5 linked regions of the Nothobranchius furzeri genome follow. The protein of the gene in region 2 interacts with the protein of the main gene of each other region in a pairwise test. Links are inferred from orthologs where the notes say so. Each region holds a gene or a part of one and is shown on either strand. Other genes may lie near its edges.

Region 1 (4,241 bases), on a different chromosome or scaffold from region 2:
GGGGGCAGTGCTGCTCTCCTGACAAGCCTCCATTATTCTGAGCTAGTAGCAACACAAAGGAGACAGTTGCCTCTGCACGAGAGACCAAAAATAAATCATTTACAGACAGATCACGGCTGCTCTGTCTGTTATCTCACAACAAAAATGCTTTGATCACTTTTTCACATAAAAAAAAATCTGTTTTCATCGTTGAATTAAACATCATATCTGAGGTTTTATAGAAACAGTCTCCCCATTACAAACAAAAAACATGTTAGGATTTTTTAATATTAGTGTCACGATCTGCCCCTGCCCAACCTGACTGTGTTCCTCTCCTGCCGTGATTGCCCTTATTGTTCTCACCTGTCCCTCGTTTACCTGCCCATGTTTCCCTAATTAGCGGTCCATCATCTCCACCTCCTACACCGTGACAATTAGTTTGTGTAGCCACATCTGATTTATTTGTACAATTTAGGCCACTTTAAAAGTGGTTTACTGGAAAGAAAACCATAAAAGATCATAAAAGCGGGGGTTCCGCTTTTTGAAGTGTTTCTCTTAAAAGGCCAAAAGCAATGAATATCTTACATCCTCCATAAAGCCTTTTGGACAACATCAGTTAGGACGGGTGGACATTGTGTGGCTTTCACTCGTAGCATTCAGCTCCATCTCAAACTGGATGACTTCCTCGCAGAGCAAAGCTCACATGTTCTCTCACTGTACTGTTCACACTGTATGTGTGCTAGCAACACATCGGAGCTAAAATATGCTACAAATAGTCGTTTTTACGCAACATGTCAGACTTTCGATTTCTAAAACCTGTTGTGTTGTTACTGGTGGGTTTTTTTTCAGCATTTATTTGGAAAAATGAACATATTCAAACTATGTTATTAATGTGTGTTATCCTTCGGGCTTGCCATAGAAGGACAACATGGGGTTTATGGGGGTTTGAGAAGGAAGACAAAAGAAAGGAAGTAAAACAATGTTTTATTTGGCATAAAACACACTTTCTTGACAATCCTTGTCACTGTGTGTAGAGAAAAGTATAAAAATAAGTAATACAGCTTGAGTTGATACGAAAATAGCTGACGAGCCGTGTTGGTGCATGCGCTGTGTGAGCAGTTCTGGTACTTTTGGCTCGCAGCGCTGTTCCAACAGTGTGATAACCTCACGAGGGATGAGGAAAATATCAAACATGTTTGATATTTGTGCAATTACTGATTGGGAGCTGGTCGTGCGGTGCTAATCGCCTCTCGTAATCCCTGTATACTACTGGACACACAACACCAAACTCGCCTCAACCTCAAAGATTCTCACATGAGAACGCCTGGCTTTAAGAGGAACAGAAATTATCTCTGGTATGACAAACAAGCTGGTCTACCGTAGCCTTTTAAGCATTTAATTTCAGAAATGCTAAAGCAGCTAGTTTCTGCTGCAAACCACCAGAGTCTTATGTAGTTAATTCACACTAACTACTGTGAGGCTTTTGAGATATTCCTAATCAGTCTGTGACTTGCCCCACTGAGATCAGCATTTGTCCAGTCAGAACTCATCTCTGCTTCTCCAAACTGAGGTTGTTCAGTGCTATCCACAACAGCTACAGTATCCAAACCTGTGATGTTTAAGAGCAACAACGAGTACATTTACAGCCTGAATTTTTGTGTGTTTGATGCCTAAATTAGCAGCACTTAAATGATAAAGAAATCTTCAACTATGTAACCTGACATTAAAATCAACACCTTGAAATTCAGTCTAAAAACCTCATATCAAGTGTTTTTCCTCCATTTGAGCACCTTGCAGATCCTAACAAGATTTACAGAGAAAACTGGTTGGAGATTTCACATACATATTGTTGAGTGAAATCATAACAGATTAATCAGAATTAAGCAGATTCCACCACCAAGAAGCTTTTCTTATTTAAATATTCTATGCTGCTGAAGTTGTTTTTGTTTATTAGACTAAAAACATAACTTTGGTGCACATTTCTTTTGCAGAAACAGAAATACGCACCAAATAATGCTCTAGATGAAATATCTGAATGCCTTTTTTTTATATGAATTTCAATGTCTTTGCAGCAGCGAGGTGATAAACCCGAACAAAGCTTTCCTGGTGTAGTAAAGTCCATCATGCTTGTATCTGTGGAGTCGTACTCGCAGCCAGAGCCTGTTTAGATGCATATAATTAGCTTTCACAAGAAGAGCAAATGGCACCTGTTCCAGACCCACAAGCTATTTTAGGAACTTCTTAATATGGGCATGTTGTTTATTATTTAATTCTATTCCACTCTTTTTTTATGTCAGGGTCAGTGTTTCTTGAAAACATCTTTTTATTGTGGTTAAACTTCAAATAAAGACAAATATCTCTGATCTTTTAACGCTTTTATAAAGAAGTACATGTTAAAATGGAAATTTTACAGAGCTATGTGTAGGAAAACTCTTTTAACTATGCAGCGTTTCATTAGAGGTTAAAATGTTCCCTTTTCTCTCACCAGCAGACAATTTTAACTTCTGACAGCAAATGACGCAGGAAAGTCTCACTGCAATTAACAGCATCTCATCTTCAACAGACTTGGCAAACTCCAAACCGCCACTGGAGTCAGTCCCACGTTTGTTAGACGTGTGAGACAGATGTTAGGAAACCAAGAATTCTATGTTATTTGTGTGCAAATATCAGAAAAGAAGCAGGGTAAAGAGCAGGCAGGGTCTTACCAGGACTGAGGGCCAGATGGGGAACAGAAAGAGTGTGGAGGGGCTCGGACAGGCGGCCACCACTGATGCAACAGCTGTGATAAGAGCCCCTCAAAATAAACCAGGAGAGAGCAGCTCACTGCTCAGAGAGGGAGGACGCTCTGCAGCTCATCTCTGCTGCAAACCTCAGAGTAAAACTCGTTATTTGGTGTTGCACCTTTGCTACTTTAGATCAACGCAGTGCTGATTTAATTTTAAGCTTCGCTCCTATTAGTCATGAAAAGAGACTGAGCAGGAGAGAAGAGAAAACGCTGTTTCTCAGACTGGCCTGATAAGCCTTTCTTTCAGTTTTTTTTATTTTTTTACACAATCTGCTGATTTTGAGCTGACAGTTAAATTCTGAAAGCGGCTGAAAACTATCTACAAGGTGAACACTACTTTTGGAAGCACCCATTTTATTTTACCTCCACGCTGCAGCTGCAGTATTCAATTTTCGCCACCAGATGTAGCTATTACAAGTTTCACACTGGAGATATTTTTTTTCTGCCTCCCTAAAGACAGAAAGTGAATGATGGGCTCTAATTTAAACAGTTGTGAACCGCACAGGTGGAATGATAATGAGAGACCGATGTAGTTGGGGAGGGAGATAATCCAGCATCATTATCCAGCTCAGCACCATTGAAACTGAATATTACTCTCAATAATTATATTTCACGTTGTAAAAAGTAATAAACAGACCACAAAAAATTCTCCTCCTTCTGATTATATGAGATTAATATCTGTTGACAGGGCCCAATGTCTAATTTAATTCTTTGATGTAGGAATCCATTTTCTAAACGTGGGGAAATAAATATACCATATCTAAAATTGAAATCATCTTTTGGGGGGGGGGGGGGGGGGGGGGGGGCACCGGTGCATTTCCAGGAACCAAAAGTGAGCCTCATCACAGCTGTCTTATTTTCTGACATTTGGACATTTTACCTCAGATTACTTAACAGCAACGCACCTCTAACACTGACTGGCTTTTCTAATCCTTGTTTCACCATAGCAGGACATATGTGTGGGAGACTATTTTCATGTTCAGCCAGCATAACTTAGTGACTGATCAGAAATAATAATAAAAAATATGTTTTCAGAGTTAAGGTTATAAATCTGGCCACGTGCAAAGTAGCAGCTACGCTAGGGAGATGAGATTCTGCGCCGACGTCATATTTGCAAGTTTGCAACTTCTGCTTTGTAATTTTTTTATTTATGACTTTTTTAAGCAAATAAATCTCAAATTACGTGACAGACATAGTCAAAACACATAATTATTTATCATTTAAATTGAAGTAAAACATATTTGTGATTCAGTGCGTAAGCTAAAGCGGACCAGGAAATAACTTTGACAGCCCCGTTCACTTATGTTCAGTTTTTGTTTCAGTACCTATTTGTTAAAATTGTAATAACACAAAGCAAATCTGTGTTTATTATAATGTATTTTCCTACTAAATATTTGTAAATTTATAGTTTGAAAGGGATTTCCAGTTCGCTAGGCTAGGCTAGCTGTTAGCTGTGCCTGCTCCAAAACAACAACAA
Region 2 (3,970 bases):
AAGGGTCTCATTCAAACCACATAATTAAAAAGGTCCTTAAGCCCATTTATAAGCTAAATTTATGTTTATTGTGAAATTTCCTTCTAGTTTCTCTGAATGAAATTAAAAATTCCAACAGTGATGGAATGTTTAGTCATTATTTCATTCCTCCACTTAATTAAGCACGAAGCTTTTGTTTTGGAAGACAGAACCCATAATGAAACAAACCTGTTGTTGTGCCAGTGCACAGCTTCATCGGGGCGTTGGCAGGCCGTTGATTGAGGTATCAGCAACAGAAGCTGCTTTGCCCATGTGTTAATGCCACAAACAATGTGGACCATTCAGCAGGGGTTCCAAAACATGCCCAAAGGCTGGAAGAGTGACTGTCTGCCTGACTGAGCAGGAGCCGGCTGCTGGCCAAACATTGTTGTCTGTTTGCCACGGAGGCAGACCACTCATGCAATTCCTTCCTGCCATACAACAACCTGATTTAAGCCCAAATCTGCACCGAAAAAACATAAAATCAACAAAATGTGTATTTATGTGTTTAAGTTATTCACCAAAGTGATGTTTTTGACCTATTTGTGTACAGTAACCGCCATATAACTCTATTCACATGACCTATCAACTGGAAAACCAGTGACAGGGAACAGAACCATAACAAGAGAAATTCTTATGTGAACGAGACAGCCGGATCACGCGGTGGCCCGTCTTCTCGCTCTGATAACCACATCAGACCAGTCAGACTCCAATCGAGCAGAGCAAACTTGGCCTTTTGTACCAGCCAGGCCAGGGCACTCTTTAACTGTTCGGAATCATGTCTGGAACCTGCTGTTGTGTCATCAGAGCGGTGCATTCCTGCCTCTGTGGCTCATGAGCCAAAACTAGACAGATTACCTAAAAGAGAAAAGGGATGCACTCCACTGCACAGTTGGAGGTTTGCGTCATCGATTTGGGGATTTTGGGTCAAAGTTATGAGAAGCTGGGGGCAGTTGGTTCACAACTCTGTAGCCAGATTTCTGACAGGGAAGTCGGCACACATCACTCCTGTGCTGGCCTCATTACATTGGCTCCCTGTAGATTTTCGGGCAAAGTTTAAAGTTCTCTGCTATATCTTCTGGTCTTTTTATGGTGATGCTCCACCATATTTGGCAGAACTAATAAAAAGACACCCCATCACAAATTCTACGCTACTGACTGTCCCTGTCATGTTCTGCCCCTGCCTTCCTGACTGTGTCTTTCTCCTGCCCTGATTAGTCCTTATTGTTCTCACCTGTCCCTCATTACTCTGCTCTTCCTGATTTCCCTGTGTATTTATATCTCCCTCCTTGTACCAGTCTTCGTCGGATCATTGTATGTGCATGTGCTCGTTTTGTCCTGTCGCTCCCGTTTACTATTAAATCCATTTTTATTTCATCTGTGCCTGCTCTCCTGCCTCCTGAACTCTCCACCACACATTGTCTGCCATCTCCTCCCTCACATGACAGTCCCAAATACTAGGTACAGATCTAGAGGAGTTCGGGCTTTCTTGGTCTTGGTTCCTTCTTTTGGAATGAGCTTCCATTTGATATTAAACCATCATTACAGGATTTTAAGAGTCATTTGAAGACTAATTTGTATCCTTTGGCTTTTATGTGACTTGGTTTAATGCTTTTATGCTGCTTTTACACTTCATGTTTTAAGTGTATTATATGCTCAGCGTATTGGCCTCCTGCAAAGGCAGTTGCTATATAAATAAAGATTGATTGATTGATTGATTGATTGATTGATTGATTGATTGATTGATTGATTGATTGATTGATTGATTGATTGATTAATTGATTGATTGATTGATTGATTAAAGCTGAGCAATTTTGCAACAAAACAGAAACATTTTTTAGCTAGCTGAAGTCATCATTCTATCTCATACCTGTCTAAAACTTTGCATGTTTGCCTCTGCCTCTTCCCTCTGGGAGATTTCATCCTGCAGCCTGCAGGAGGGGAGAACACAGAGAAAGCTGTTATTTTATATTTAGCATAAGCAGGAGCTTTCTTCCATGCTTCTTCTTTTCAGTTTTGTCTTCTTTGATTTTACTTCTTACTCATCTGAACAGCTGCAGAAATGAATAATAACAATAAGGAAATCATGGCCACATGTGCCACGCCTACTTCTCTCTCAGCCTCTCTATGTCATCCGCCAGATTGTCCCGGTGGACCTCCACCCGGGCCTTCTCGTTGGTGAGCTGGTCCACCTGACGCCGCAGCTCCCGCATCTCGTCCTCGTAGAGATCCCCGACCCGGGACGTGCCTTTGCCCCGCAGCTGCTCCAGCTCCGCCAGCAGGATCTTGTTCTGCTGCTCCAAGAAGCGCACCTTCTCGATGTAGTTGGCGAAGCGGTCGTTGAGCGACTGCATCTGCGCCTTCTCGTTGGTGCGGTTCGTCATGAACTCGCTGTTGATGGCGTCGGACAGGGAGAAGTCCAGGTTCTCGGAGGCCAGCCGTGGCATGGCCGCGCTGCTCCGGAGCCTCTGCGTCTTCATTGCGTAAACGGTGGTCGGAGCGGAGGAGAGCCCGTAGGAGACCCGAGAGGAGCGCAGCGGGCTGGAGAACTGGCGGCTGGAGTAGCTGGTCCGGGCCGTGGCTCGGTCCCCTCCGAACATCTTTTTGTAGGAAGAATGAGGAGCTGGTCTGTAGGACATCTTACTGGGTTCTGTTGAGAGTGTCCACCTCACCTCTGCAGCATCAGCGGTGCCCTAGAAAGGCGTTTCCCTCTCCAGAACTTATTTATAGCCCCCTCCTCCTGCAAAAAGCGCCAAGTAGAACTTGACTGACACCCCCAGACTCCAATCCTAGATCAGAACACACACTTGGCTTTCTGAGGCCAGATGCCTTCTAAGGTGCACAACAAAACTGAGAAAGGTCACAAAGCTCTTTTGGATGGAAAAAAAATCTCCCTTTTTCTCAATTACTTGATATATGAAGTGGTGAGTCTAAGCTTCTAAATAAAATCTATTAAAGTTAACAGGCGTTTTGTGGGTGAGGTTAACATTTCAATACATTTAAATAAAGTTTTGAAAAATACCTTATAAGTGGAAAATAACTCAATAAAGGGACATATTATTACTTTTTAACTTATAGTTATAATAGATCTGTGGTCAATACAAAACAGGTTTATAATGTTCTCTCACAAGGAGTGATTACTATTATTCTTTACATTTTCAGTACCTTCCAGAATGAGCCATTTGAGAGCTCTGTCACTTTAAACCTGCAATAACAAATCTCTAAAACAAACTAGAATTTAAACACAAACATGGTCACGGAGTGCTCACCCCTCCCTTGGCTATCATCCCCAAGCCAAGTCCCTTGATACCAGAACCCACATTGCCACAGTAAACAAGAGACCGCTAAAAATCAGTCGCATTTTCTATATCCAAAAATCTTTTGTTTTCCATTGTAACGTCCAGAAATGGTCAGTTTTTCATCCACAGTTTGACCTCTTCAGTATCCAGTCAGATGGAGACATGAGTCTACATCTAGTGTCTTTAATCTGCTGAATTCTGCTATTTTATCAGCTGAAGTTCAGGCCTCTGCAGCTTTGAACACATGGATAACATATTGTAAACAAAACTGTTCCCGTTTCAAGGCCTTAAGCTTTCTCTTATCGCTTCTACAGGATTCCTCCTGCCTCTGAATAAAAGTGAACACTTTCAGCTCATATGAGTTAATTAATCACATAATGAAATAAACAATGTGGTTAAATGAAATGTTTTGTTTAATCTGTGCTTAGATTAATAAGGATGAAATGAAATATATGACCCATATATTTAATCAACGTACGTGACTTGACAAGCACACACTCATACATATGACTAAAGTAATCTCATGACACATTGCTTTCTGATCCACAAATCAGAGCTACTGTATCTGAGGGAGGTGTGTATCTGAGGTTGGTTGGTAAAACCCCTTTACATGTCAAATTCTGGTTGGCCATGTAATCATAATATGGCAATTG
Region 3 (4,165 bases), on a different chromosome or scaffold from region 2:
AAAACTACACATTGTCTCTTTAAGATCCTCCTTCTCACATATAAAGCTCTCAATAATCAAGCTCCATCATACATCAGTAACCTGATTGTTCCATATGTTCCTAACACGGGCAACAACCTAATGGAGCGACGGTGGCACAGGAGTTAAGTGCTTGCTCTGTAAATGGAAGGTTGCAGGTTCGAGCCCCGCTCAGTCTGTCGCGGTCGTTGTCTCCTTGGGCAAGACACTTAACCCACCTTGCCTGCTGGTGGTGTTCGGAGGGACCGGTGGCGCCTACGTACAACAGACTCACCTCTGTCAGTGCGCCCCAGGGCAGCTGTGGCTACAATGTAGCTCATCAACACCAGTGTGTGAATGTGTGTGTGAATGGGTGAATAACTGATTGTGTTTTAAAGCACCTTGGGGGGTTCCAGGAATCTAGAAGGTGCTATATCAAATACAGGCCATTTACTATAACAGAGCACTTATATTTTTAATTAAAATATAGCTTTTAAAGGAAATATTGTATCTTCATTCTGCACACCTCTAAACGCCCCGTGGAGGTATTATTAAAACAATGTATAGCTTTTTATGAAATTGCTCCATATTCAACCTTTAATGTACAAACTACTCAAATAAATAAAATAACATAAAAATACAAGTAAAAAACAATTGAGTAAAAAAATAAAGCTAGTGAAAAACTGAGTAAATGTTTGACCACAACGGCTGATTTAATTTATCCACTTTTTAAATCAGATAAATACATGTTTTAAATGATATGTTAACTTATTATTAGATAGTTTTAGGGGCAAAATTGAAGATAAGTAAAATGTAATAACCGCACTTTAAGATGACAAATGAGCCCACAGGGGCGTAGATTTGGCATCCAGCGATGACCAAATTCTCCCCACCATTAGTCTGACTGCCAACGTTAAAAAAAACCAACAAGCCAGAGGAGCAGAAAGGGTTAAAGGACCTACCTCTGTGTTGCACATGGCCAGGATGAGATGTAGGTTTATCAAGTCCCCACAAGCAGATGAGCTCGAGCCTCCTGGTTTGGTTTTTGTTGTGGAACACCGCCATCTAGTGGCTCCAACACCAAGTTACAAGTGGTTTAGATCTGTGTTTTACTTTTGATTTCCCTGAAACACATTAGTGTTGGTTTGTTTAAACATTTTAAACAATATCCTGTCAAATCAAATTCATGAGGATGCTTAAGCTTTATGGTAGTTCAGCCATTGTTTACTTTCTGCTCCACTGGAGCTGCTTGGCAAACAGACCAGGTTTCGGTTTTTAGACGAGGAATGAGGAAGAGGTGGTTGAACGGTCCTTTTGGGTTGATGAGGGCTGGAGAGAAGGCAGTCAGTCGCTTTGTGTTTACAGGTGAGAGCGAGTCTTCTAGTCTGTTGAAGGGGGACACTAGAGGAAATCTGATTTCTGTGCTTTCCTGATGGACTGGTTGGTACCAGATGTGAAGCTGAAGGATTGAAGCATGGGAGCTGATAAGACTGAAGCATGCTTGCTCAGGAGCTGCTGCTGAAACAGCGTTCAGAGGTTCTCCACGCCCTCTGCAGGAGCGGCTCAGCTGAGCACCTGGAAAGGGTTCTGGACGTGCTGCTGGCTCAGGGGGAGCTGGGATGGGAGGACTACCAGAGCATTCAAGTCCCGGGGAGGGCCCTGCACACCAACGCCAGGCAGCTGCTCGACCTGCTTTATACAAAAGGTGAGGAAGCCTGCAGAATCTTCTTCGCTGCTGTCAATCAGGTCTTTCCAGAAGGCCAAAGAGTTGGCCTGTCCTCAGGATGTCCCCCACCTTTAGAGGACAGAGTTCAGAAGACGTCTGCAGAGACAGTTCTAATACAACGGCTGAGTTTGGTCTGCAAGCTTCAGGACTGTGTGGATGGTGCTCTGGAAGCTCTCCTGGAATCAGGTCACTTTTCCTCAGAGGAACGAGATGAGGTCCTGCTGCCTGTTCACACCCCGTCTCAACAGGTAAAAAAGGCATTTGTAAACACATCTCCTCCATTTTGTGCTCTTTTGTCACTTACTGTTTTTGATTGACGGAGGTAGCTGGTGCAGAATACGGTTTCCAAGACGACTGGATTCATATAAGTAGGACATATCGTAATATGACTAAACTCACCTTTGTGCCACCACCTATAAACACTCCAAACCTGAAAGTGCCCGTCCATCTGTCGGGGTTTGGCTTCAGGGAGTATTTGCGAAATATAAACGGTTTGAAAAAGTCCCTGTTTGTGATGTCATAATAAGGGAATCGCTGATTGACGCAGACATCAAAGGTCAAATGTCCATCAGCAGGATACCAGAGAACCAAATTCATGATTCCATCAGTTACAACCAGTCGTCAAGAATCCCCAAAAGGGTTTAAATGTTGTTCTGGGTTCTTATGTTCTTGGATTTCTAGAACAGGTCATGATGTTGGCTTTTTGAGATCTTTTAGCCTTCTTTGTGGTGTCAGGCAGCTTCTTTTGAAGGGATTTGAAAACTTGTTTTGTGAAACATAGTTTCACCCTTATGTCATCATGTCCTTATTTGGGCTGTACCAACTTCCTGTTTAGTCCACTCTAAGATGCTAGTTTGGAGCTTTAGAGCTCTGCGTGGACGAGAACGTCCACATCTCCAGCAGGTCCCTGGGGTTGTTCCATCTGGGTCTGATGGAAATTAGGGTTCTCCCTCTGATCCTGAGCCTGTGGCTTCTTTTTAACATTCATTCTGACCCGTTTTTTTTAGGTATGAAGTGATTTATCTGGAAAGCTTTGGTGTAAAAAGCCATAAACCCGCAGACGGGTCAGACATGTGACTGAAGGATAGAGGAGATTTTAGTACAGCGACTGCTAAATTAGGGTTTTACTTCTGCACATCACCTCGTTTCCTCCACAGCTTCCTGTCTGAAGCTCTAATCGGGTGCGCCGAGCCGTTTCCTGTGCAGTTATCTCCTCTAAAATGTGAATTTAAAAAGTGGAACTGCTGCTTTCGGCCTCGGGTAAATTTGTTCTCGTTCAAACCCAACCAGGCCCGGCGTTTGCTCGATCACGTCGGATCCAAAGGGGAGTCTGCGGCGTCAGCTCTTCTTCAGTTCATCCAGCGAAGACAGGAATCTGGATCCCAGCAGAACCAGAGGGAACTGGAAATCCCTAAAGGTATCGTGTCTTCCGGGTCAAAAGTCTGCCAGTCCACCTCAGCACCAAAATACTCTAAAACTATTAAAGGTATTGGTCCACCAGACCGATATGTTGGTTGATTTGTCCATTGATTCATATTTTATTTATTCTGAAGTGTAGAAATGTACAAATATTAGCTAAAGAGGTTCCTGAACAGCCTCAGTGGGGAGAAATAGGGTTACATGGTGGCACAGGAGTTAAGTGCTCGCCCCGTAATCGGAAGGTTGCAGGTTCGAGTCCCGCTCAGTCTGTCGCTGTCGTTGTGTCCTTGGGCAAGACACTTAACCCACGTTGCCTGCTGGTGGTGGTCGGAGGGACTGGTGGCGCCAGTGCTCGGCAGCCTCGCCTCTGTCAGTGCGCCCCAGGGCAGCTGTGGCTACATTGTAGCTCATCCCCACCAGTGTGTGAATGTGTGTGTGAATGGGTGAATGACTGATTGTGTTGTAAAGCGCCTTGGGGGGTTCCAGGACTCTAGAAGGCGCTATATCAAATACGGGCCATTTACCATTTACCATTTACATCCTACAGCTCTGGTTCTCAGGACCTCGTTGTTCAATGAGTTTGGAAATTAAGGATGATCCAGAACTTTGGTAAACAGGAAAATTATTTTTATTATAATTGATATAATTGATAATTGATAAAGGCTAAATTTAAATATTAATAATAATGCATTGAACTTAAATAGCTCTTTTCTAGACACCCAAAGACGCTTTCACACACTCTCACATTCACACACTGCTAGTGATGGTAAGCTACTTGTAGCCACAGCCGCCCTGGGGAGGTCTGACAGAGGCGAGGCTGCCATTTGGCGCCGTCGGCCCCTCTGACCACCACTAACACAGGCATGTTGGGTGAAGTGTCTTGCCCAAGGACACAACAGCAGGATTCCCCTGGCGGGAGCTGGAATCGAACCCACGACCCTCCGATCATGAGGCAACCCGCTCTACCACCTGAGCTACAGCTGCCCCAAATATTAGCTATTGACTAGTAGAACAGTCCAAGTA
Region 4 (4,260 bases), on a different chromosome or scaffold from region 2:
TGCATCACTAATTGCAAGGTTTTGTCCAAATTACAACCACCCAAAAGCTCCACATCATCTAAAACTTGGTTTGTTTATTACCTAATCAAAAGTTAAATGACAACTAGATTATCATTTTAGCTAATGTCATTTGTTAGCTAATAAACACAACACAACACACCCAACCAACAAAACAACCCAGACAGCAGCTGTGTTTTTCTCACTAATATTTACTGGAAACAAGAATCAAAGATCCAAGGTCCTTTCCATCCTGCTGTAGGACATCTAGTAAAGTAACAGGATGTGTCATAAAATAGTACACAACAAAATACTTCGGTTGAATCTAGCAGTGAGATGATTTATGTGTAAAATTATTAGATTTTCAACCTTCTGACCCCCAAAATAATAACTTGTGACCCCAAATGTTGATGGCTGAACAAGACAAAAACAATTAAAAGGCCAAATATTCAAGAACATAATTGGAACACAAACAACTTCAACTCATACCACTTTTATATGCTTATGATTCATATTTTACAAAAATAGCTTGGAAATATCTTATTTGATCATTGTTTGAAAGTTTTATTTGAGTTTAATTTAGTGTTTTGAGACCCAACGTGGGTCAGGGTAAAACTGGAGAAACGATGTTCAATCAAACAACCGCTAAGATCTAACCCTAACCCTTTTACTCAAATCAGACTCCTCCAATGACCCTAGAGGGTTCATGTTAATTAGCTAAACCCTGTTTGTTACAGTGGCAGCGTTACTTGATGGGAGGAGGTATGTAAGGTAATTTAATGTGCAGAAGGGAATTTAAATTAATTCAGTTTAACAGCTTTGCTTTATTTTAACATATTTCTCTGATATTTTTCATGTGTTTTAGTTACATATTATTTTATGAGATATTCAAATGTTAATTTGAGAAGAAAATTACCATGGCAACCATCAACAGGTCCATCAAAGTCATAGTTTGAGATATTTTGTGATCAAGACATTTTTACTAAATATAAGCTTCTTAGGACAAACCTGTTTAAATTCCTCTTCTGCTTCATATAACCAGGCATGCTTCAGCTTCTCCTTGTCTTCTGCCAGATCCATTATCTGCTCAAAGGATGCGTTGTCCTCACTGGTATTTTTAGCAAGAAAACGGTCTAAACTGGGCAGGGTTTTCTCTTCCTGGTCATTGTTCTTTTTTTCTATGAATAAATAATTTGTTTTTAAAATACGATTAATTGCAGTTCAATGTGTACATGTCTATTCTTATAACAAAAAAGAGAGTAAAAACTTTTTTTTTACTATAACTTACCAGCATCTAAACCTTTACTACTGTAAGTTGTAGAGGGAGATCCTGGGTGACCCACTGGTGTCTCAAAGCTGGCAGGAGTCACATCTTGCACATAAAAAAGTAAAAACACAGCAACAATACAATCAATATTTACTTTAGAGTGAGCAGAGAAAACGAAGAAGCAGTTTTCTGCGCATCTGGTCTTCAGTTAGCCTAAAAGAGCATGTCACCCCTCTATTCATTGATCTCCATTAGCTACCTCTAGCTGCATGCATAAAATTCAAATCGCTAGCACTAGCATACAAAGTCCTGGATGGTACAGCTCCCATCTACCTGAATCCTCTTGCAAAGGCTTATGTCACGGCCCGGCCACTCCGGTCATCGAAGGATCGTCGGCTAGCAGTACCTACACCATGCTCTCTTTTCATGTATTGTTCAACAGATGTGGAATTACCTACCAAGCACTACTAGAACAGGGGCTTCCTTGTCGATTTTCAAGAAAATCCTGAAGACCCAGTTCTTCAAGAGAGCATCTTCTAATCTAGCACCCTCCCAGCACCCGTCCCCCACTCTACTGCACACTCCATGTTCGCTTCCCTCTTTGATTGGTTATGCTGCCTGTCTGCCAAGATTGACTGAATAGTGTTTGTTGTTAGCCTCGAGGGCAACCTGCTGGCTTGATTACCACCTGTAAGTCGCTTTGGACAAAAGCATCTGCTAAATAAACATAAACGAGGTGTGTTGAATCCCAACAGTTATTATTTTGTTTCTACTCACAAGGTACGGACGTTCGTGGGGTAGACTTGGTCAAGGATGATCCATATCTGATTGATATGTCTCTCATTCTCTCAAGATCTCCATTTTCCTCTGCTTCCAGGTAGTCCTTCTGCGCTTGTAGTTTAGTGACATCTGGAAAGAAGTCCCTCTGGATTATTTTCTCCAAGCTCTGTCAAGAGACCAAACATGAATAAATTAACAGCAGAAGGAAGCGTTTTATTACCAATATAATTATCCACCAAACTGTCACTGTACTAACAACTATGATTAAACCTTCATAATATCATTTACCATAACAAAATAAAACAAGCAACAGTCGAAATAATTTTGGTTAGCCTTATTAGCAAATGGGCCGTTTTTAACTGGAGCCTAAACTCATATTGTTTCAAGTCCCTTACCTGAATGTATTCCTCTTCATCGAGAATTTTTCTCTTCAACGTGTCCTTCTCCTTGTTCTCGGGATGACTGACAGCGACTGTCGTGACGGCTGGAGGTACGAGAGTCCCGGACAGTGCTCTCCTCACGCTACTGCTACCCTCCATTGTGGAGCCTGAGAGTTAGCGTTAGCCTTCAGGCTAGAGACGAGTCACGAGAATAACGAGAAAATAATCTCAGAAAAAAAACTGAGAACGATTTTTCACTTAATAAATACCGTTAAAAACGTAACCGAGGTTTTAAATAATTTCACACGGTGGGAATGGCGCTATATATATATATGGTTTAGAGGCTGACTTTTAGCCACAACACCAACGCACAACACAAAACGTTCTTCTTACGCAATTTAAGCGAGTACGTCACCGGAAGTTATTGTTCTAAACTAATTTCCAGTATAAAAGGCTTATGAAAATATTCTGAATATAAATGATACTATCAGTTATATCACAAATCTACAAGACAAAAACCTGGAATTTTACATTAAGAGATGCATGATCCCATCGTAGTCTTTTCACTTAGAATGACAATCTTTCCTCGGGTCTTTTTCAGCATCCGAAAACAAAAACTGATTTTTAAAAGTCTACATAAAGTTATGTTCTGAATCCTTAAACCAAACCGTTGTGTTCATTTTACTTACTCTTTCAAATTTTTTTTATTCTTTTATTCAACATTTCTCTCACATACCTGCTCCACTTCTCCAGTTTGATGCAAACATACTCAGACAGTATTCATATAATTATGTGTGAATATTTATGATGATAAGCTTTTCTGATAATGAAGATATTTGACCAAAAACAAACAAACAAACTGACAGAATGAATAACAAATGAAAAACATTAAAACAGTTTAAACTGTTCAAATTTATCAGCAACTCAGCATCCCAACTTATCAGAATGTATTATTATTATTGCCCAAGTTAATTAAAACGTAGTAAAATGTTTTAGAATGAATTTACATGATGGATTTTTGATTTAACGCACTGGTGAGTTTATTAATAAAGAAACAATAAAAAGCTTTTCAATCCGTTTGTTTTAATGATCATCTTGCTCTTATCACATTTCATAAGGATTTTTATCAAGCAAATAAATAAAAAAATCAAGTGGCTCAAACAAAAATGACACTCATCAAATGTTAAAAGACAATGTTTTAATGAGGTAAATATTAATGATGCTCCAGGAGTCATCAGGTATTGATACTTTAATTAAGACCAAAGGTGACAGATCATTTGCTGCTGTGGCCCCCAGACTCTCTCTCTGAGCCTGAGATCAGTGGACTCAGTGGTCTCCTTTAAAAAGCAGCTGAAAACTCACCTGTTCAAGCTGGTTTTGGTGTGACCTTCATCATCACCTTCTCCTTGTTCTGCTCTAAACCAATTACGCCTTATCCGGGATCCACTGATTTCCCTCTTTCCTATTCATTTTCTTTTTCCCTTTCCTTGCACATTTAAATCACAAATCTGTTTTTTATGTTTTTCTTCTAATTTTAACCATGTTTTTAAATAATTTTTTAAGTTTTTTTTGTATTTTGAATTTTCTGTTGTTGTGAAGCACCTCGTGAGTTTTTATCTTGAGAGATGCTAAATAAAAGATGATTTTCTTTAATTAAAAAAACATATTTATAATAATTAGGTTTTTATTTTTATTTTTATTTTTTTTTTTGCATGCAGGATTGATTTGGTTTTAATGTGTTTTCATTGTTCCAACGTTCCAGTAAAATTACTTAGAATTTTCAAAATAAACATACGAATAGCTATAGCCTATTTCAGAATTTCCTCTTAAAACTTA
Region 5 (4,021 bases), about 10 Mb from region 2:
TCAGCTCCTCATATGAACATTCTTACTAAAACATGAAATTGATCTCTGCTGGGTTTTTATCTTGGATGTGTTTTTCTGTCACTCAGTGTGGGGTTGTGTTTTTTTGAATGAACTTGTTATTAAAGTTGTGTAATAATCAAGTTGTTGAAGGTTAGAGGGGCAGAACTAATTATTGATTAGAATTGTATTTCTCCTCAGCGTTGCTCTCTGAGCCGCCTGATGGACCCGAAGAACTAAAGCAGAGTGTAAATTAAATTTTAATACGCTTTGCCAGATGTTTCTCTTTTTGCTTTCTTGCAGGCCCTATGATTTTAGTTTTTCTTTGTTAGATGTTCGGCATGCACTGGAATAGGTAGTCTTGTGTCGGTGTGTACTACCGAGATCAAACTTCTTCAGCCCTACAACTGAAAATGAAATGTTAGCCCCCTTTATTGATTTATTTTTTTGTAAGAGTGGTTTTGATTTTGTTTTTAGAGTGTGTGGATGTCCTATGTGTAATTTTGTCTTCAGTAAGCATTATTGTTTTATTTACTTTAATTGGGACATCATATTGAATTACTCAGGATAAAATTATACGCGACAAAACAATTGAGACGAGCAACTCCTTTCCTCTTTCGGTGGTCTTCAGTGTCAGTTCACAGCTTCTACAGGAACCATAATCCAATATGCACACGTATGAATGATCACCATATGGTTTTACTTTTCTGTCTGTTTTTTTTTTCTCAAATATTTAAAAATGAAAAATAAAGATTAATTTGAAAGAAAAATGCATACTGTTTTTAAAGCTTGGAGTCATTTAAATGATTTTTTAAAAGTTGTTCTGCAGGTGAAGATGGAAGATTTTTGTTTAGTTTTAGTCTAAATGTAGTCATTTTACAGATATGTTTGAGAATAAATGTCCTTGTTTGTGGAATGTCTGATCAGGTTAAATCCCATTTTTAAAAGGCACCGAACCGTTTTGTTCTGTGGGATTTTTCAGTTTTTATTATCAGACTTTTTATTCTAATATATTCAGTTTCATTGTGTAATTTGGATTTAAATTTTTACTCAATTTCTAACAGCTGTACGGTCTAATCTAATCTCTACCACAAGTCTAAACTGGTCTGAACGAAGGTGGAGCGCACGTTGAGGTATTTTAATTCCTGAAGTTCTTGAATGCAGCATGTGTCGGCGCACAGTGATGTCGTCATTCAAACGAAGCACCCTAAACCTGGCTGGAAGAAATACGCAACAGATAAAACAAGAACAGTTTGTAAAACAAAGAAAAAAAAAATAAACAGTTACAGTCATGTCTGTGAACTACGCTGCAGGACTATCGCCTTACGCGGATAAGGGTGTTTGCGGTCTACCTGAGGTAACATTTAGGTGTTGTATCGCTCCGAGAGCTTTTCAAAGAGCTAGTTAAATTAGCAACGTAGCGTCGCTTTCATTGAGAATGCATTTTTGTTTGGTTCGTTTAAGAGTAATAATATAAAGACGGTGTTGTAGAGCAGACCGTCTGTGCTGTGTTAGCCTCTTTGTTATTTAACATAAACACTATGAAGCACGGTGGAGGATAGATGATGGTGTGTTCTTTTGTTGTTGCCACACATCTGGCACGGTTGTATACAATAGTCGCCCCCTTGCTAATTGTTTAATTGTGTGTTTTTGATCTGTGCCAGAGTTTTGATAATCCGGAGGAGCTAAAAGCAAAAGTGGAAGCCCTCGCTCAGCTGATTAAAGAATCTCAGTACTTGGTTGTCCACTCTGGAGCTGGAATTAGCACCTCAGCAGGCATCCCTGACTTCAGGTGAGAGACAATATGTTTGTTCCTGCTAATGATTAAAAGCATTCTAGCGGATTTTTCCATTTGATGTGATCACACACACCTGAATTCGGATCTTCCACTCATCAAAGTGGTACAGCTGGTCCTCATTTGGTAGATTTCTTAGCTTTTATTTTGTCTTTATGACTGTAAAAGAGTAAATCTTGGTTCTCATATGTGCAAACTAATTTTGAACAACTTAATCAGCTTATGATGGAAGATATGTATTGTTTATGTTTATGTATTTAGCAGACGCTTTTGTCCAAAGCGACTTACAAGTGATAATCGGCATGTTGCCCCTGAGGCTAACAACAACAATAACAACAACTTGACATCAATAATTGTATTGTATTGTGTTATTAAAGGTGTGGAACACTGGAAACCATTTTTTAAAATCGTATTTCTGATTACAATGGGTCACTCAGAGTTTTTCATGCAGGCTGAACATGAAAATAGTCTCCTACACCTATCTCCTGCATTGGCATCTGATAGAAAATAGATGGTGAAATGCTAGGTTTTTAAAAGCCTGACAGATCTACATTACACTGACTCTTAACATCCATGGACTCACCCACCATGGCTCACGATTTGGAAGGCCTAAGCCAAATTTATACTTTTCCATCTGCGTCAGTACGGAAACACGCAACACCATTATCCATTGTTGAGAGGGCTTTCCAACAGGCAGCCAAGGACGGACAGAGTCGAGCCCACTTTTCTAAACACAGCAGTAGCTCAGGAGGTAGAGCGTGTTGTCCAGTAATTGGAAGTTTGCAGGTTCAAGCCCCGCTCAGTTTGTCACTGTCATTGTGTCCTTGGGCAAGACACTTAACCTACCTTGCCTGCTTGTGGTGGTCAGAGGGATCGGTGACGCCAGTGCTCCACAGCCCCGCTTCTGTCAGTGCACCCCAGGGCATCTGTGGCTACATCGTAGCTCATCCCCACCAGTTTGTGAATGACTGATTGTGTTGTGAAATGCCTTGGGGGGGGGGGGGGGGGGGGGGGGGGGTTGTATGACCCTAAGAAGGCGCTATACAAATACAGGCCATTTACCATTTAAACATCTGTTGAACAAGACAAGAAACTACAAGCTTACCATACCATAGTTTGTTTATATAGCACATTTAAAACGCAGCATGGGAGCTGCCCAAAGTGCTGCACAGGCTGGACCAAATCACGACCCATCAAAGCAGCAACAACAGAGGATAAAAATGCCGATCAATAAAAGCAAATAAAACATGAGGAATACTAAGAACACATCAAAACAATAATACAATAAAACAAAACGACTCACGGCGTAAAAGCCAAATCGTAGAAGTGGGTGTTTAAACGAGATTTAAAAACCGCCAATGATGGAGCCTGTCGAACTGTAATAGGTAGAGTTTCACAGCTTTGGGGCAGCATGTACAAATGCTCGTTCACCCCATGATTTGTAACGCATCGGGGGAGTGCAAAGCAGCAGGAGGCCAGCCGACCTCAACGTGCGCGTGGGTACATAGGGAGTGAGCAGGTCAGAGAGATTAGGAGGTGACAGGTCGTTCAATTCAAGTTTATTTATATAGCGCCAAATCACGACAAGAGTCTTCTCAAGGCACTTCACATAATAAACATTCCAATTCAGGTCAGTTCATTAAGCCAATCAGAAATAATGTTTCCTATATAAGGAACCCAGCAAATTGCATCAAGTCACTGACTAGTGACTTTACAGCAATCCTCATAATAAGCAAGCATAAAGCGACAGTGGAGAGGAAAACTCCCTTTTAACAGGAAGAAACCTCCAGAGAATCCTGGCTCAGTATAACACACACACACACACACACACACACACACACACACACACACACACACACACACACACACACACAGACAGACAGACAGTAATGTGTCTATAGTTACATTGTGATTTCTTAGTAAATATTCTATTTGGTGAGAGATAAACTTTATTGTATTTATCCTAGTGGATCTATAATTAAACGGATAAACTAGCAGTAGCACATCCAACGTCAAGGAAAGCAAAACGTTATTATCAGGAGAGGGAGAATGTTTGAGTGGTTAGCAGCATTGTGCTAGACGATGGCCCCCTCCATGAGGCCACCACAGCTCAGCAGAACATCATTGTAGCTTCTTCTTCGTTGAGTGCTTTAAAGACAAAAATCAATACCTTAAACTGTACTCGGAAAATGACAGGGTGCCAGTGAAGATGTGTCAGGACTGGGGTAA

The links. The genes of interacting proteins can lie anywhere in the genome.
Region 1: the proteins of vimentin (region 2) and txlnbb interact in binary tests that used the Homo sapiens proteins (3 or more experiments, as listed by UniProt). The two-hybrid records come from large-scale screens. The link is inferred for Nothobranchius furzeri from reciprocal best matches to the Homo sapiens genes VIM and TXLNB.
Region 3: the proteins of vimentin (region 2) and nod2 interact in binary tests that used the Homo sapiens proteins (3 or more experiments, as listed by UniProt). The link is inferred for Nothobranchius furzeri from reciprocal best matches to the Homo sapiens genes VIM and NOD2.
Region 4: the proteins of vimentin (region 2) and ess2 interact in a two-hybrid assay, tested with the Homo sapiens proteins (2 studies listed by BioGRID and IntAct). The link is inferred for Nothobranchius furzeri from reciprocal best matches to the Homo sapiens genes VIM and ESS2.
Region 5: the proteins of vimentin (region 2) and sirt6 interact in a two-hybrid assay, tested with the Homo sapiens proteins (2 studies listed by BioGRID and IntAct). The link is inferred for Nothobranchius furzeri from reciprocal best matches to the Homo sapiens genes VIM and SIRT6.

The regions. Positions count from the first base shown.
Region 1 is NC_091758.1:20,072,792-20,077,032, forward strand, and holds the start of txlnbb (taxilin beta b), read right to left. Parts: upstream 2,808-4,241; 5' UTR 2,685-2,807; intron 73-2,684; 5' UTR 34-72; coding exon 1-33. UniProt on the Homo sapiens protein: Promotes motor nerve regeneration. May be involved in intracellular vesicle traffic.
Region 2 is NC_091751.1:47,677,139-47,681,108, reverse strand, and holds the start of vimentin, read right to left. Parts: upstream 2,806-3,970; 5' UTR 2,658-2,805; coding exon 2,128-2,657; intron 1,950-2,127; coding exon 1,889-1,949; intron 1-1,888. UniProt on the Homo sapiens protein: Vimentins are class-III intermediate filaments found in various non-epithelial cells, especially mesenchymal cells. Vimentin is attached to the nucleus, endoplasmic reticulum, and mitochondria, either laterally or terminally.
Region 3 is NC_091749.1:70,956,388-70,960,552, forward strand, and holds the start of nod2 (nucleotide-binding oligomerization domain-containing protein 2), read left to right. Parts: upstream 1-1,358; 5' UTR 1,359-1,494; coding exon 1,495-1,971; intron 1,972-3,013; coding exon 3,014-3,140; intron 3,141-4,165. UniProt on the Homo sapiens protein: Pattern recognition receptor (PRR) that detects bacterial peptidoglycan fragments and other danger signals and plays an important role in gastrointestinal immunity.
Region 4 is NC_091746.1:52,059,085-52,063,344, forward strand, and holds the start of ess2 (splicing factor ESS-2 homolog), read right to left. Parts: upstream 2,808-4,260; 5' UTR 2,584-2,807; coding exon 2,440-2,583; intron 2,211-2,439; coding exon 2,042-2,210; intron 1,370-2,041; coding exon 1,286-1,369; intron 1,176-1,285; coding exon 1,006-1,175; intron 1-1,005. UniProt on the Homo sapiens protein: May be involved in pre-mRNA splicing.
Region 5 is NC_091751.1:57,913,093-57,917,113, forward strand, and holds the start of sirt6 (NAD-dependent protein deacylase sirtuin-6), read left to right. Parts: upstream 1-1,214; 5' UTR 1,215-1,288; coding exon 1,289-1,354; intron 1,355-1,661; coding exon 1,662-1,789; intron 1,790-4,021. UniProt on the Homo sapiens protein: NAD-dependent protein deacetylase, deacylase and mono-ADP-ribosyltransferase that plays an essential role in DNA damage repair, telomere maintenance, metabolic homeostasis, inflammation, tumorigenesis and aging.